Linked DNA regions of Arabidopsis thaliana. The protein of the gene in region 1 interacts with the protein of each later gene in a pairwise test. Each region holds a gene or a part of one and is shown on either strand. Other genes may lie near its edges. The genes, in order: BPC5, ABR1, MYB39 and AT2G39000.

Evidence for each region.
Region 2: the proteins of BPC5 (region 1) and ABR1 interact in a two-hybrid assay, tested with the Arabidopsis thaliana proteins (one large-scale study listed by BioGRID).
Region 3: the proteins of BPC5 (region 1) and MYB39 interact in a two-hybrid assay, tested with the Arabidopsis thaliana proteins (one large-scale study listed by BioGRID).
Region 4: the proteins of BPC5 (region 1) and AT2G39000 interact in a two-hybrid assay, tested with the Arabidopsis thaliana proteins (one large-scale study listed by BioGRID).

The regions. Positions count from the first base shown.
Region 1 is NC_003075.7:18,144,789-18,148,887, reverse strand, and holds BPC5 (basic pentacysteine 5), read left to right. Parts: upstream 1-1,996; 5' UTR 1,997-2,089; intron 2,090-2,444; 5' UTR 2,445-2,458; coding exon 2,459-2,527; intron 2,528-2,624; exon of another isoform or gene 2,625-2,627; coding exon 2,628-3,410; 3' UTR 3,411-3,537; downstream 3,538-4,099. Other genes in the region: VHA-C3 (vacuolar-type H[+]-ATPase C3), read right to left, coding at 35-167, 505-790, 1,483-1,558; AT4G38905 (uncharacterized protein), read left to right, coding at 3,833-4,099. UniProt on the Arabidopsis thaliana protein: Transcriptional regulator that specifically binds to GA-rich elements (GAGA-repeats) present in regulatory sequences of genes involved in developmental processes.
Region 2 is NC_003076.8:25,889,790-25,894,449, reverse strand, and holds ABR1 (Integrase-type DNA-binding superfamily protein), read right to left. Parts: upstream 3,002-4,660; 5' UTR 2,772-3,001; coding exon 2,333-2,771; intron 1,531-2,332; coding exon 794-1,530; 3' UTR 562-793; downstream 1-561. Other genes in the region: RPN5B (regulatory particle non-ATPase subunit 5B), read left to right, coding at 50-127, 205-423.
Region 3 is NC_003075.7:9,881,088-9,885,210, reverse strand, and holds MYB39 (myb domain protein 39), read left to right. Parts: upstream 1-1,778; 5' UTR 1,779-1,842; coding exon 1,843-2,108; intron 2,109-2,443; coding exon 2,444-3,223; coding exon of another isoform or gene 3,224-3,227; exon of another isoform or gene 3,228-3,307; coding exon 3,308-3,344; 3' UTR 3,345-3,612; downstream 3,613-4,123. Other genes in the region: AT4G17780 (F-box and associated interaction domains-containing protein), read left to right, coding at 3,756-4,123.
Region 4 is NC_003071.7:16,285,667-16,290,178, forward strand, and holds AT2G39000 (Acyl-CoA N-acyltransferases (NAT) superfamily protein), read right to left. Parts: upstream 2,597-4,512; 5' UTR 2,276-2,596; coding exon 2,104-2,275; intron 1,727-2,103; coding exon 1,330-1,726; coding exon of another isoform or gene 1,272-1,329; exon of another isoform or gene 1,099-1,271; coding exon of another isoform or gene 1,095-1,098; coding exon 788-1,094; 3' UTR 559-787; downstream 1-558. UniProt on the Arabidopsis thaliana protein: Protein acetyltransferase with dual specificity triggering both N-alpha-acetylation (NTA), with a large spectrum of modified N-termini, including methionine, alanine, serine, threonine and to a lower extent glycine and valine as substrates, and epsilon-lysine acetylation (KA) of several plastid proteins.

The DNA.
Region 1 (4,099 bases):
GAATCATGCGGACTTCAAGAACCGCACTCTTTTCTCATTCGGCTCTGGACTGACCAGCTCGGGAGGACAAAATGATCCCGACGATGAGACCGTATAGAGCAAGAGCTTCAGCGAAAATGAGGATAAGAATCATACCAACGAAAAGCTTTGGCTGTTGAGCATTGGCCCTGTCATCAAACCACAAATTTGCGTATCAAAATGATATAACAGGGGATAGACACTCACAATTGAATTGATATTTCTTCCATTATATTTCATCCTAGAGAAATACGCCATGGCACAAGACATCTCACAGAAGCATGTAATGAACTGATATTTCTTCCATTATAGATTCAACAGTCAGTGAATTGCACATATTCCCTACCAAATTTTCATCAAGTTGAATTGTGACACTAAACTCATGATATTCTGATTCATAAGGGAGATATACTTGTATAAAATTGAGTCTTTTAGCAAATTAGGCTATAAGAGTGAATCTGCAAAGAAGGACACAGAGGATCGTACCTGACACCAGCATCGCCAACGATACCTATGGCCATTCCAGCTGAAAGACCAGCTAGCCCACAAGCAAGACCAGAAGAGAGATGAGCATATCCGTCGAAGAGGTAGTAGGATTTAGCCTTGGGGTTAATCCCGGTACTGATGATAACAGCAATAATCAAACCATAGATACCCAACACACCAGCCATAACAACTGGGACAATAGACTTCATCACCAACTCCGGCCTCATCACACCCATAGATGCCACTCCCACACCACTCTTTGCTGTCCCGTACGCAGCTCCCATACCTTGTTAATAACACAAAGATACACACTCTTTAAGGTCACAATCTAACTATGGTTTACACAAGTAATCAACATGCCTTCGATATGAAGAAAAAGCATAATTGACATAGATGAAAGCAACTCAGCAATTTTGATGGTAACAACGGTAAATCTGTACTTATGCAATTAGTACCAGTCACAGCAATCACAAAACCTGGCAACTCCAGCAAATTTCCCTAGGTAATTTCGATATGTTGGACAAAGAACAGGACACCAAGAAATTCTTTTTTTTTTGTCGGGGACACCAAGAAATTCAACACATACAGATCTAAGCCAAAAAGTCTTAGTTTCTAGAAGATCAGCCTAGACTACATCACCAATGGAGAAAAGACAAAGAAAAAGGATTTAAAACCAGCGTAGAGCAGTTCCATAAGAATTTGATCCACTGACTAAAGATAATAAACTAGAATTTTCGAAAAGGAGAGACATATAATAGTTCAGTGATATCGCTTAGCCTAAACAAATCTAGAGAGAAATTTCTAAGAAAAATCATGAGCAACACACAGATCGGTGAACTTCTCAGGGCCGATCTAAAGCACAAAAGCAACTTTGAGGGAGATCATGAGAACAACAAACACACACAAGATCAGTGAACAATTCAGAACCAAAGAGAAAAGAAGAAGATGGAGATTATAAGAGAGTATAGATGGATATACATGAGAAGACGAGCGCAGCGGCAGCGCCAAGGAAGCCGAAGAAAGGAGCGGTCTCATCGCCACTGAAGGTAGACATCTCTCAGGCGATTCTGGATCTTAAAATATGTGCTTCCTTGGAACACCGGAATCTGATCTCTCTTTCTCTCGCAGATCTCTCTCCGTTGAATATACAAGGATTGAGTTTCCGAGGCTCAAAAGCCTGATTGATGATGAGATATACTACTACTACAACAGCGAAGCGCACACGTCGGGATCTCAACCCGGGTCTACCCGTATTCGACCCAGATTAGTTGCCTTATTCTTAGGCCCATCATACGGCCCACTAGAATGATCCACCAGAACCAAAATCATATCCTGTTTGGCTTATATTTGGAGAGATTGAAACAGAAACGTCTTTGCATTTTTACGAGTAAGATGGATAGACAATAATAACCTTCTTGCTTGCTCTCGTTTAGCAGTTTTAAGACAAGGGTATATTAGTAAATTGAACCGAGAGTACCTGGCTCGTCTTCCACTTCTTGCCACATTACACAGACACCATTTCCAAGTATCCTCAGATCTTTCTCGATTTCCGTTGCTTGTTTCTCCTGAAGGCTCGTTGAAATCCGTAAGTCTTCGATCGTTAATCGTGTTCTTGACCTATCTGTTAATTTCAGCATGCCAAGTTTTTCTCTCTACAATTTTCATTTTCTTCGAATTTTGGTTCTTCTGGGAGCTCTCTCGTCGTTGCTTTAACTTGAAATTCGAACTCTATATATGTTCCCGCGTATCTTACTTGCTCCATTGTTTTCTTCATCGTTTGGTTTGGATGGTATTACGCTGACTTGTGGGATATGATACGATTTCTCGATTTATTTGGGTTAAATGTATGTTATGGAACTGCTTATGATTTGGAGTATTTCTGTTTTTAGTTACTCGTCAGCCTAGTTTCACAATGTTTGATATCAATTTCTCCATTGCAGTTGAAAGTAAGAGGATGGAGAGTGGTGGGCAGTATGAAAATGGGCGCTACAAGCCCGATTACTACAAAGGAACACAATCTGTGGTAAGCAAAAACACTTGAAGAAGCAGATCACTAAAACAAAAAAACATGTTTTCGTTACTTTGAATGAAACCTAAGTACAAACTGTGTGTGTGTGCAGTAGAATGTGATGCCGAAAAAGGAGCAACATAATGCATTGGTGATGAATAAGAAGATCATCTCCATCCTTGCTGAGAGGGACGCAGCTGTCAAGGAAAGAAACGAAGCGGTTGCAGCAACTAAGGAAGCATTAGCCTCTCGTGATGAAGCACTTGAGCAGCGGGACAAAGCTCTCTCTGAAAGAGATAATGCTATCATGGAGACAGAAAGTGCGTTAAATGCTCTTCGATACCGTGAAAACAATCTTAACTACATTTTGTCGTGTGCCAAGCGCGGTGGTTCCCAAAGGTTTATAACTGAAGAAAGCCACTTACCTAATCCTTCCCCTATATCAACTATTCCACCTGAAGCAGCCAACACGAGACCGACCAAAAGGAAGAAAGAGAGCAAGCAGGGAAAGAAAATGGGCGAGGATCTGAACCGTCCAGTTGCTTCTCCCGGAAAGAAAAGCAGAAAGGATTGGGACAGTAACGATGTCCTAGTCACGTTCGATGAGATGACAATGCCAGTGCCCATGTGCACTTGCACCGGGACTGCTCGTCAGTGTTATAAGTGGGGCAATGGCGGCTGGCAATCATCTTGCTGCACAACCACTTTGTCTGAGTATCCGCTCCCGCAGATGCCAAACAAGCGGCATTCCCGAGTTGGCGGCAGGAAAATGAGTGGAAGTGTCTTCTCCAGGTTACTTAGTCGTTTAGCTGGTGAAGGGCATGAGCTTTCCTCTCCGGTTGATCTCAAGAACTATTGGGCTAGGCACGGCACCAACCGCTACATCACTATCAAGTAACCAAGATTTATGAGCCAGTAGCCACTATATATCAAGTATTGCTCTCTCGTCATCCCTTTTGATTTTTTTTTTGTCGCTTTAGATTTAACAATTAGGATCAAAAGTCGAATGAAAGATGAAGTTAGGCTCGTTATTGTTTTTACTGTCGATAGTTCCGTTAAAAGGCAAATATCTAGTAGTACTGTTTTGACTTGGTTTTGTTGTTTTATGTAAATAGTTACATTATCATCTACTTTGTATTATTGTAATTTCAAAATTCGAAATCTCACCCATTAAATCGCAAGAATTTGAACAACTTCAACAAATAAAAAGGAAAAAAATTTAATAATCTCCTTATATTAGAGTCAAGCTTCAACGACTTATGTAGTCTCTTCATCTCAAGCTTACTCTCAAAGTTCCACTTAAAGAAAAGAAAAAAAAGCATGGACCAAAAGCTAAAGACCACCAACACTAGTCCACCACCGCAACCACCAAAGCGTTGGCTTAACCACATCAAGACATTTTTCGACGTTCCTAACCCGAGAATCGTTAGAATCTTTTTTATAGGCAGTTTTGCCACATTTTTCTCCGGAATTGCTTTTGCTTTTGAATGGACATTAAACGGCAAGAACCATAGCGGATTCCAATGGATCATCTACTACGCCTTGTCCCTGATCATTCTTCCTATTCTCATCTGGCTAGGTCTCGGT
Region 2 (4,660 bases), on another chromosome or scaffold:
ATTGTTACTGAAGAGTCTTAACTTTACAAATTCTTCACATCTTCTGCAGAATATTCTCGTTGTCTCAAAGTACTACTCAAGGATTACCTTTAAGAGACTTGCAGAACTTTTATGCCTAACCACTGAGGTAAATATAGTTTCAAAATACTCTTAAGTGTACCAGTACATGTTTAAATCTCTTCTTACCGTTTCATTATATTTCAGGAAGCAGAGAAGCATCTATCTGAAATGGTTGTGTCCAAAGCCTTGATAGCAAAAATCGACAGACCATCAGGAATAATCTGCTTCCAGATTGTTAAAGACAGCAACGAAATCCTCAACTCGTGGGCAACAAACTTGGAGAAGCTTTTGGATCTTGTTGAAAAGAGTTGTCACCAAATTCACAAAGAAACAATGGTTCATAAAGTTGCACTAAGAGCTTGAGAACCCGGTCTAGCCACACACATCGGTGGAAAGAATCTTTCAGGCTCTCGTTCTAACATAATCATTTGAGTTTTCTTTCTCTGCTTGGTTCGAACACATTTTTTTTGTGTTCTTTAGGAGACCTTGCAAGATTATATACAAAACTCTCTTTTTTTTCCTTTCTCCATGTGGTCTTTTTAATGTTTGTTACAATGAAACGAAATTATAATGCAAAAATATAATAAATTAAGAAAAAAAGCATGAGAGGATGAAAGCAGAACAATACAAACAACCTAAACCCTATAATATTTGGAAAAATAACTCTATAACATATAATCATTTTCCTGTTTTCTATTACTCTATAGTGAAACAAATAAAATGAAGCAAGTCATCAGGAGGATGGACTATTATTGTAGTTATTACTAGTCTTGTCTGATGGCCATTGTATATCCTGGAGATAACCGGTTTCGCTAGCTGATTCTGGTGGCGGCTGAACAGCAGCCGGGGAAAACAGAGGACGAGAATGAGATGATGATGACGACGTAGATTGCATCATTGAACCTCCAGTGTGACCGAAACGCAACGGAAACGACATTTGATCGTATAAATCCAAAGATTGTTGATGATGTTGCTGAAACTGTTGTTGTTGACGAGCCATTTCAGAGTAACTCAAGTTGTATGATTGCATCAACGGCTGCGAATGAACGCTTTGATTCGAAGCAGGTCTTATGGGCAAAAGGGTAGTCGTTGAACCCGAGTTCCTTGACTGGGTCGGTCTTTGAGCAGCGGTTTGGTGCACAGGTTGTGCTTCGGTTGAAGCAGGTCTAACGAGTTTGACGTTTTCAGGGAAGTTGAGTTTGGCTTTGTTGCCTCTAAACCGAAGTGCAGCTTCGTCGTAAGCTCTTGCTGCTGATTCAGCATTGTCGAACGTACCGAGCCAAACTCTAGCTGCTTTAAATGGATCTCGAATCTCAGCCGCCCACTTTCCCCATGGTCTTTGTCTAACTCCTCTGTATCTTCGCCGAGGTTGGTCCCCACTAAACGACGACGTTTCGCTACTAGCAGTTGCCGTAGTTGTATACTCGTATGTTGGGCCCGGACCTGACATGTTACTCGAAGCTTCTCTCACTGCAAATAAACAAACAAACATGTAAAATTTCACACTTTTGTTGTCACTCGTGAATTAACACTTTCTTACATAAGAAAAAGAATCGATAATATTAATGTCTCCAATAAAGATATTATAAAGTTTTTTTTTTAAGAGCGAGTATGAGAAAGTGATGAGGCAAATGGGTGACAAAAGGAATGAACAAGTAGAAAAAAAAAGGAAGTGGAAAACGACTCTTGATGCAATTGGAGGGAGATAAATTCTTTTGGCATATCATCATCATCATCATCATTTTCTTAATTAAATATCCAACCTTTTTACAACAATTCTAAAGTATATGTCTTAAGATAATCAAGTACAGTTTCGTTATTATATTTATTTTTGTCAACACTTCGAAATATTTATTTACATCTTTACGCTAATTACTATTTTTTATTCCTCATTTTTCTTTATATTTAAATTATTATAAAGTATATCTAACTTCGCCATATTTTAGAAAACGATAAAAGAAAAGAATAAAAAAACTAAATATAAGACATGTTGCTTTGTAGATTGCGTGAGGACAACAAAAGTGCAACTGTATTTAGATTTTGTGTTACAAACATTTGATGTGACTCATACCTTGATGTATATACTACATCATAAAATTATTGAAAACATTTATCAAATAGAATGATCTTATAATTTAAATGTTTTATGTTTTGTGGATACACAACCGAAATATGTAAAATTTTATCAAAATGGTGTGTACTAATGTGGTTTAAATCCGAAACAGGGTACGTGTGTTTATAGAGGACAAAATAAAAACCCAACAAAACTAACCTTTAGAAGTAGAGCTACCACCGGAGAAATATTGATCAACCGTCAAAGTATTAGCTGCCTTAACCGCTTTGGCGCCACCTTCCTCCACCTCTCTCCTCCTTTTCTGCCCCGAGGAAGAAGACGAATTCGAAGTCCCTTCTCCGCTACCTTCACCGCCTCCTTGTTGATGCTGAGGAACATTTCCAGCAACAACGTGAGTCAAAGCAGAGACAATAGCAGACATCTCCATCTCTCTACTGAAACCTGAGATAAGAGATGAGGACGACGACGATGGAGGCGGCTGCTGCGTAGGGAAGCTATGACGGTGGTGGTCGTCTTCGGCTGCGAATAAGTAAAGCCATTGATCGATTTCAGATAACGTCCGATGATCATCGTCTCTAATAGACTCGGCTTTTTTGCCAACGTTATCTTCCTGATTTGCCACTTTTAAGACACACATACAAAACCCTCCTTCTAAATCCTCCTCCTCTGAAACTTAAAGCTTATAAACGCAGAGAAAATTAAATTTAAAAATATTCTTTTTCTTCGAGGGAAAGAAAACTCTGTAGAGAGAGAGAGAGAGAAACAAGAAACAGAGACAAAGAGGAAGAAAGAAAGACAGAGATTTTAGAAGATGTGTTTTTTAAGACAAAGGACGAGGTTTAGCTGATAGATATACAAATTTAATTTTCTTGTGTTAATTACTTTGTATGGTTTCAGCGCCGCCAAATGAAAATGAGTCGGCTTCTCTCTGTACCCGTGTGAACTGGAAACACGCAGTTTTTTTTTTAATAACTAATGTTTATATATATATATATATATATATAATATAGCAAATAGCTATTTTTATAAATTTGATCTATAACAGAAGAAAATTTGGTTTTGATGATTTAACTCAATTTGAACAAATTTTGTAAAAAATTGGGTCCTATTATATGAAACGTATCTGAATCTTTTCGCAACTTGTGAGTAATTATATATTTTTGTAAATATACTATATGCGACCTATACTCTATGAACAGTTCTGAAGAATACTTTAACAAGTCTAGTAAATTAAATAAATAAGGTAATGAATTAATTATGTATATTAGCTCTGTGTCATAAGACAACTTGCATAGTAAAAACTTTAAGAAGTTATAAACACTGTTAAAATATGGAGGCATTCAGAAACGATTATTAATTACTATATTTACGGTTCGGTGCTGAAAAAGAGGTAAAACCATTAAATGGAATATTTATAAAATAAGATTATTTTTGCATTTTGTCTAAACGGTGAGCTTGAAGGTCAAGTTGAGAGACGAGCCGTTCCGTACGAATGCGCGTGTGTTGCACGTGTCGGTTCTGGTCGACGTCAGATGCTCCGTTTGTGGACGGTGTCGGTGATGGTAAGGCTAATGCTCGTGACCGTTTGGGCCTCACCCTACGGCCCACTTGTTTCAACCTTCGTCTCTTATCTTTGACCGTTTGACCCACACCTTGTATTATTTTCTTCGTTTTCGATTTTTCAGAAGAAAATAATAGAAACGCATTGTTCAGAAGAAAATAGAAAAAAAATAGAAACGCATTGTTCAGAAGAAAATATGATTTTAGGATTTGTGATGTGTTTTTCTTTTAACTATAAGAGTTGTTTTCTTATTCGCCCGAATCGAGTCTAATAGAGGCTGCACAAAAACTTTTTGGTTAAGAAAAACATATTGTTGTCCATATTTGCAATTAAGCTCAGGATGGTTCAGATTTCAGAACTTGCAGATATGTACTCGTAGATTCTAGTCTGAACGCAGAATAATTATTATATTGATATCTTTTGGATTTTCTATTATTTTTTGGTTGAGAGTTAACTTGAGGATAATCTCGAAACGCATCGTTGGACTTTTGTTTTTAACCAATCTAAGCAATTGTGCTCACAAGTTGACGTAGTTGTTATTTTTACCTGTTATACACGAGACATTTTCGTATTGTTAAAAAGTCGCAGATTTAACGAAGCTAATAATACATAATTTGCAAAGATGGGAGAAAAAAAAACGATTGTTATTGATGTGACATTTTTCTTAGGCTGATGCTCAAGTCTCTATTAACTAATTAATTAGTCAGTGCGACAGTTTATTTTCTTAAAGAAGCTGAACAAAAATATTGTACGACAGTATAATTAATCTGGATAAACCACGACAAAAAAAAAAAAAAAACTGGATAAACCTTTTCACCGGTCATTTCCCTTTTTAGAAACTAAGATGCCCTGTTTTATACTAATCCAGTTTAATTATATTCCACTAAAACATACAGTAGCTTTTAATCACTTAGGCGATAAAAATACCTAAATATGTCTATCAAATAAAAATTAGTAGTAAAATA
Region 3 (4,123 bases), 8.3 Mb from region 1:
ATTACAAATTGACGACTATGTATCTGTTGCGTAAGCCGCGTAACAATAACATTACATAGAATTTTAAGGCTTGTCTTATCTATACTCGTTGACAATGTCAAATAAATATAGCATAGGAATTTTATACTATATGGTGCTACTAATTACATGGAACCCTTAATATATACGACTGTTTAAATAGTCAACGTGATAAATAGAGAGTTGGTAAGTGTTTGGTTTTAATTTGACAATGTGAAACAAGCCTGAACATTGACCCTTTAAACCATAACAGTAATTTAACGGTAAAAAAATAGTAATTAAGTATGTAAACAAGATCTTCCGTGAGAGTGAAATTAAACCTCATTATTTAAATTATACTAGTAAACATTTTCTCCAACCGTAGGAAATTTCGTTTTATGTTTTTTTTCTAATTTGTCGTGATCCTTCTCATTCCTTTGAAGACAACAAGATTCTATTATGAAAGATTTTTTCAAAGATCCAATAGTATAATACAACGTAATATATAATACCAACTTTATAGTTACACCTTCTAATAAAATCCACTTACTCGTTTATGTGTTCCTCACGCTATCGACTTAATGTTTGGAACCCGCGAGAGAAGTTCTTTAATTAAATTAGTCAATCGAAAAAAGCTATCCATTTCCTTTATCAAAGTAAATCAATTCGAAAATCTCGTATTAACTTGATCATCCAAATCCATATGTATATTTTCGAATAATATAAAACAGAAATTGAGATAACCTATACTAAAGAGAGTTTCACGTAAAAAATTTATATTTTCACGTAACAAAAAATTACAAAACAATTAAACAAAAAACAAATGATAATAGCATAGGTAATTTTTTGTGACTTGAAATTCAGAACGTATGGTAGGCACAAACGACGGTTTGGTAACAATAAGGAGAATAATAATAATCTTCGTTTGAATTCAAATAGAGGAAGAAGAAGCGAAAGGGTAGGCTTTGATCAACCATGAGACATTGAAGCAGGTAGAGATAATTCTTTGAATGCGGTGGAAGCAATCACATAATGATAAATGCAAGATTCCAATTTTGATGAACTTTGCAATGAGAACATAATATTGCTTTTCAATTAAATATTAGTTAAATATACCCTTCAAGAAAAGTAGTTAACAAGTTTAATTTATAATCATGCATTTATGCGAAATTCTTATTTGTAGGTTTTAATCTAAATAGAGAAATATACACATATATAGGAAATATTCAAAAATGATCACATGCATGTTTAATTTTTGAAAAATGTGGCTTTCTTTTATAACATAATTTCAATAAGATTAGTTTGAATTGCAGATTATGAAATAGTATATAATTTGTGATTGTTTTACAAGTAAAAGAGCGTAAGAAATTTGGTCCCAAAAAAAAAAGATTTTAGTAGGGAAATATCAACATTTTATTCTAACATAGCTAGGGCAAATATTTTATACATCTAACCCACAATAACAAAATCCATTAATGCATTAACAATTATTCGTATTCTTTTATATAAAAATTATTTGTTTGAACATCATCCCCACGAATTACTCTTCGAAGTTCGAACGCCATGACACATATCATATTATCAGTACCTAATCTTGATTTTGTTATAACTATTTTGGTTATTTAACTGATTTATTGAATGACTCATATATTGTAGACTTATGACACACTATGAAAAATAATATTTACACCAAATTCTGACGAATGCATACACAACTTTACTTTAGTTATGTCATGACTGCTTTTCACATCTATATATACATACAAACCTAATCGTAGGGAGCGACGAAACGAAGATCATATCTTCAAAAACCTCTGATAAGTTTTGGTTCTTGATATAAACAAAATGGGAAGATCACCGTGTTGCGATCAAGACAAAGGCGTGAAGAAAGGACCGTGGCTGCCAGAAGAAGATGATAAGCTCACTGCTTATATAAACGAGAATGGTTATGGGAATTGGCGGTCGCTTCCTAAGCTCGCTGGACTTAACCGCTGTGGCAAGAGCTGTCGGCTCCGGTGGATGAATTATCTCCGGCCTGATATCCGGAGAGGCAAATTTTCCGATGGAGAAGAGAGTACTATCGTTAGACTCCATGCCCTCCTTGGCAACAAGTAAGACTATTTTTTTTTCGTTAAAGCTTTTATGCTATTTTGTTAGCACTAAATGATTTAGGTCTCGCTTGTTTCAGACGTAATTATGTGTTCCTGTTTACATGTTTTTTTCATAATTTTAAAATATAAACCATTTTCAGTTCTTTTAAAATTAATATAAAGTGCAAAAACAAATTTACGTATGGATACCATTGCATAGTTTATTATTGCTATTATAGAATTCACATCCTCAAGACTATAGTCTAAACTTTAGTTTATAATTCTCTAACCATACAAAAGGTTAAGTTTTCGTTGGTTCATTTTACTAACGTTTGAGTCGAATTTTTACCATACAGATGGTCGAAAATTGCGGGTCATCTTCCAGGAAGAACAGATAATGAAATTAAAAACTATTGGAACACTCATATGAGGAAGAAGTTATTGCAAATGGGGATTGATCCAGTGACGCACGAGCCAAGAACCAACGATCTTAGCCCTATCCTCGATGTTTCTCAAATGCTCGCGGCAGCAATCAACAATGGCCAATTTGGTAACAATAACCTCCTCAACAATAACACCGCTTTGGAAGATATTCTTAAACTCCAATTGATCCATAAAATGCTTCAAATCATAACCCCCAAAGCCATACCAAACATCAGTAGCTTCAAGACCAATTTACTGAATCCTAAACCAGAACCGGTAGTCAATAGCTTCAATACCAATTCAGTGAATCCTAAACCGGATCCCCCGGCTGGTCTTTTCATAAACCAAAGTGGAATCACTCCTGAGGCCGCCTCGGATTTCATTCCATCTTATGAAAATGTTTGGGATGGTTTTGAAGATAACCAGCTTCCTGGTTTGGTTACGGTTTCTCAAGAGAGTTTAAATACAGCAAAACCGGGTACCAGTACGACCACCAAGGTAAATGATCATATCAGAACCGGTATGATGCCGTGTTACTATGGTGATCAACTACTAGAAACCCCATCTACTGGTTCGGTATCGGTCTCTCCCGAGACAACCAGTTTGAACCATCCCAGTACAGCTCAACACTCATCCGGTTCAGATTTCCTAGAGGACTGGGAGAAGTTTCTTGATGATGAAACAAGTGATTCTTGCTGGAAAAGTTTCTTAGAGTAAGATCTATCTCCGCATTGATTAACATAGTATATGATTTATATTTATGGTTTATTAACAGAATTGTTTTATCTAATCTGCAGCTTAACGTCACCCACATCGTCACCTGTCCCATGGTAGAACTGGATTTTGTTCGGGTCGTATACTCATAGTTTTAAAGACAATACATACACAAAGATATTCGATTAATACTCTTAATTTTGTTTGTTATTAAATATTGATTTAAAGTTTGTATATTTTCTTGTAAAGGAATTCTTATTTGTAATTTGTTCTTATTTGGTTTGGTTGTTGTGTAAAGAAACACATTGTAATCACCATTCTATTATTGCCCATTTAATAACAATATTTTGGATAAATATCTACGAGCAGTCTAATTTATACAATCAAACAACTCTATGGAAACATAACTTGATTCACAAGTTTAATAAAAATTCACCTATTTGCCAATAAGGAAATATATTAAAATGTCAATCTCTCGATGTTTCTAACAGAAAGATTGACAAAAAATCAAAAAACAAACAGTCACCAAGAATGGAGGAAGAAGAGAAAAACCCTAGTTCGATCTACATAGTTGCCGATCTTCTAGAAGATATATTCCTTCGACTTCCCTTGAAATCCATTCTCATATCGAAAAGCGTCTCAAAACGATGGAGATCAATTCTTGAGTCGAAGACGTTCGTGGAGAGACGAATGAGTCTTCAAAAGAAGCGCAAAATCCTGGCTGCTTACAACTGCAAATGCGGCTGGGAGCCTAGGCTCCTCCCCGGGTCGTCGCAGTGCAAAGGGAACGAAGAGATCGTCTATCTGCACTGCAACGCCGCACAACCCTCGTTTACTTGCGACGGTTTGGTCTGCATTCTCGAACCACGTTGGATAGACGTTTTGAACCCCTGGACAAG
Region 4 (4,512 bases), on another chromosome or scaffold:
TTACATAGCAGCAATAGCAAGTTCATTGGGTGGATCACAAGTAAGTATACTAATCATGCGCCTCATGCCCTACTTGTATATCAGTTTAACTTTTTTAGAAATCATAGAAAACTTTGATGAAATTAACTAACAGTTTGTTTATGTTTGTTGTTGAACAAGGCTCTTATTATCTATTTCGTGAGCTACATAAACAAGATTATCATCAATCTAGCAGTCGACAAAACAGTGATTCCAGACCCTCATGTACTATGTGATGATTTGGTAGAATCGCTCAATATCATCAAACTTGCTGCCTTGCAGAAAGGAGTTCGTAAAATACAAGTTTGAGATATAGAAAATGAAGCTAAGTATGTTCGACAGATAAAATTACATGTTAGTGGCGTCAGAATTTCTTCACACAATAATATGTCCAATGTGTGATATCTTTATGACTTCCATGCCGATTTCTTCTTGTTCCAGTGATATTAATCTTGAGTTTCGAATACGCTATGTAGGTTTAAACTATGGATCTTAATTAGCATAGTGCGACGAATGCGATTTTAGATGTTTTTTTTTATTACATTGGTATATAAATCAAGTATGGCTAAGACTTGGAATGTCTTGAAACATGCTTGCGGGAGAAGCAAAAAGTTCACGGTGCTACAAGACCTTAAAAACTGAAAAAGCGTATTTGGTCGAAATATTATAGACAATAGCATTTACACAAGACTGCAACCATATTTACAATTACATAATCAGAGCTATATTTCAACAACAAACGGAATTCAAATTTCCTTTTTCCTCGGATTTACCGAAACTGTTCAAGAGCTTGTGTATTGTTGTTGTTCACTAGCTTCATCATGAAGGTAAACCTGGTGTCAGGAGATGTCTTCGGTTGAGGCCAAGTCGCTCCTTCAGGGATCTTGATGGATCTGAAACCTTGATCTTTGTAAAGTTTAGTTGCTCCTAAGTTGTTGAGATCACAGTGAAGGCCGATAGCTCTACATCCCCAGTTCTTGGCTAAAGCCTCTGCTTTCCATATGAGTCTCTTGGCTATTCCTTTGCGCCGGAAATTCTCTCGAACTGCCACATTTGATACATAAGCGATCCCGGTCCTGGCTTTAAATTAGGAACACACCATCAAATCATTATAAGACAATAAACGAATCCAGATCCGAGCACAACACATTCCCAACAAAAAATGACAAGATCCTTCTTTCACCAAGATTAGCTAAAGATTGCGAAACTTTATGTTATCCTAGTTGCACATTTTTGAGACTAGGTCCTTAGTCTTAAGAACAGAGGCACAGTGCTTGACGACAGAAATAAAAGCTAAGGCGAAAAGCGAACCTTCTCTGGCGGAGAGGTCCTTTTCTTGGAAGGTAATCAGCCACAGTATCAACAGTCAAGATTCCAGCAACATAACCTTTGTTTAAGCTGATCTTTGCATCAAAAGCTCCAATTTTGAAATCATCACTTCCAAAGCAGATGGTTTCATCTACTGAACTACCTATCACAGCCACTAAACAAGTCCTCTGGCACCCAGGTGGAATAGAAAATCCCATCACCATTGCCATTAACCTATCTACTCTTAGAACAACATCAAGCGGGAACGAATATCCCGGGAAGAAAGAGCTGCAATGAGTCTCTGCCACCTCCCAACAGTCCTCTAACCGTGCTTCACGAACAACGATTTCAGGTGAAACCGCTGGAAAAAGATCAACTATTTGACTTGCATTGCAAGCTCCTACATACAAAGATAACAAATATATTCATCAAAGAACAAATTTATCACCCATTGATAGAAGCAACAACTATGTTCACACTTTTCTTCTGTAACCAGAATCTCAAACCCGGTGAAAACTCTAAACTATTCCTAAAAGACTCAGTGACAAGAGGTCCTCAGGTTTAATAAAACAACTGATTTGCTGAAATCATGCAAAAGCCTGAAAATTTAAAGCTTCATGAAGCAAACATGCGCAATCAATTGTTTCGTTGAAAAATGAGTTAAAATTGAATCTTTCAATCAGGCATGGTCAATTACACTAGAGAGCATCTAACTGAATTCATCTGGGGATGGCTTAAGAATTGGAACTCGATCTAAATCATAGCTCATCATCAAACCTGAGTTGATTTGTGAAGGAGCTTGAGAGATAGAAAACGACGAGTGGCGTCTCCGACGATGGATAGAGAAATTAGAGACTCCTGAAGAGGAAACGAAGCGGCCATACCCATAAGAGTTGTGTTTGATTGAAGCTGGTGAAACCGCCGTCGTCCCCAACGGTGTGCTCCGCATCTTTCTCCGTTCGCCGTGCCTTTTCTGCTTCTCTAGCTATCTTTATTTCTTACCCAACACAAACGATTTTAACAACAAACCGGCCGGTTCGACCGGTCAAATCGCACCAATCACGATTTTAATAAAGAACCAGCAGGATTATCCTAAGTCACTATTCACTAATAGTAATCTTTTTATTTAATAATTCGCGTTAGGGAAATAAACTCTTTTTTTTTCCCACCAATTCACACGTTTTTTTTACCCCACCAATCCACATTGCCAAAACGTCTAGAATCAAATTTGCTCTTTCTTTTTTCAAAAGTTTGTAGCTACTGTTATGCCAAAAAAAAAATCTGTAGTGAAATGGTTTGGCAACCAAAACAAGAAAAGAGATGAACACTATCCACACCGCATCATCCGTCTTCATAAACAACATCATTATCATACCATAAACATCATCCCCAATCCCCATCTTCATACAAGCATCATCATCATTATCAACATTATATAACATCAGCATATGTCACCATCATCACCATATGACCACCACCATCATCAACATCATCCATCATCATCTTCACCCACCGCATTCATCATCATCATCTTCATCATATTATACCATTACCATTCATCATTCCACAAAAAAAAAATGCTTCGTATTTGAACTTTACGAAGACTACTGTTATCAGTTTATTGTAAGTTTACTTATCTATGTTTTGTATTTGGATTTTCATAAACACACCAATGTGACGTAGAAATCTGATTTGCATGATTTGTATTTGGATTTAATCCGCTAATTTTTTTAGCTATTTAACTATTTTCATCATAAATTACAATTTATTTTCTTATAAATTTCCTTAAAATCAGTACTTATTCCACCATATTATGCAATTTTCTTATAAATTTAAATTTACATGTAGAAAATAAAACAAATAAGCTAAGCGCGTTTATATTTTTTTTACGAATTCAAAACATCCAAATTCAAAAACGAATATAACTTTTTCCCTTTAGTCGACACTAAACTCATCACAAATTTGAAATAGTAGGAGACCATCCTTAAATCCCAAACAAAAATACTTTATATTGATGTCGCTTGAATTGTCAAAACTTCCATCTAAATAATGAGAAAGAAACAAACTACAGGAAAGAAATTTCAGTGAAAAGTTGACGTGGACAAGTTAGATTTCGAAGTTCTGATCTAATCCAATGATATTTGGTGAGCCACAAAACCATTATCCAAAAAGACAATGTACATTCCGACCCAACCACAAGCTCATCACGATCCACAAATGTCGCCACGTCTCTCGCCGACATCATAGAAGTGTACTAACCGTGTGGTGTCCAGATGCCATGTCTCCTGCTTAGAAGTTTCCGCGACAGAAGATTCACTTCTTCATCTTTTTAAAAAAAAATGCAGAATCATTTTCGATATCTTACATGGGTCACTTTTTAATAGTTATTGTTCTGTTACTTTTTTTTTCCTTACATTAATTAATACTTTATCGAATGTTTGTTTAAGCCGTTTTGGGTAAGCTATTTGTTATGAACAATAAAGTTGTCGGAACAAAGAATGGAGAACCTTAAATGAAGCCTTTGTATTTCACGCAATTGTTTTTTACTTTTAAGCAGCCCTATACCAATTTTTTCACGTGTTTTAAACATTCTTGTTTATAGTAACAATTTGAGTCTTTTTGCTTCTTCTTTTTTAATTACAGCACGTATTAGCAGCAAAATGATATTATTGACTTATAGTCATGTGACTCATGTAAAAAATAAAAATTCAAAACAAGAAGATGTTATAAAAATATGGATGAAGATGAATTGTATACATAGAATTAATATTACAATGAATCCGAATGTGTTTAGATAAGTTGTAAATTACAAAATTGCGTAGAAAAAAAAAAAATGTTTTGCTATCAGTATATCCGTAATACTTTTTATGAACGGTCCCATCTCTAGGAAAAATGAGTAATATAATTCATGAAGCAATTCATTTTCATTTTATTTACAGAAAAAAATAATGGTCGTCGCTCGATTATTAAGTGGGACATTTGTTTTTTTTTTTGGTATTATTAAGTGATGCATCATCTGTTGTAGTCTTGTAGAACTCTATAATCCGCCAAATGCTTCGCTTCAAATATATTCTTGTATTTATCTTGGTGTCCAATCCTACTCTGCCATGGACGGGCCTAGCTACGTAAATTAGATGGGTCTACCACGGACACCACGTGGACAAGATTTAATGTTCATGGTTCATG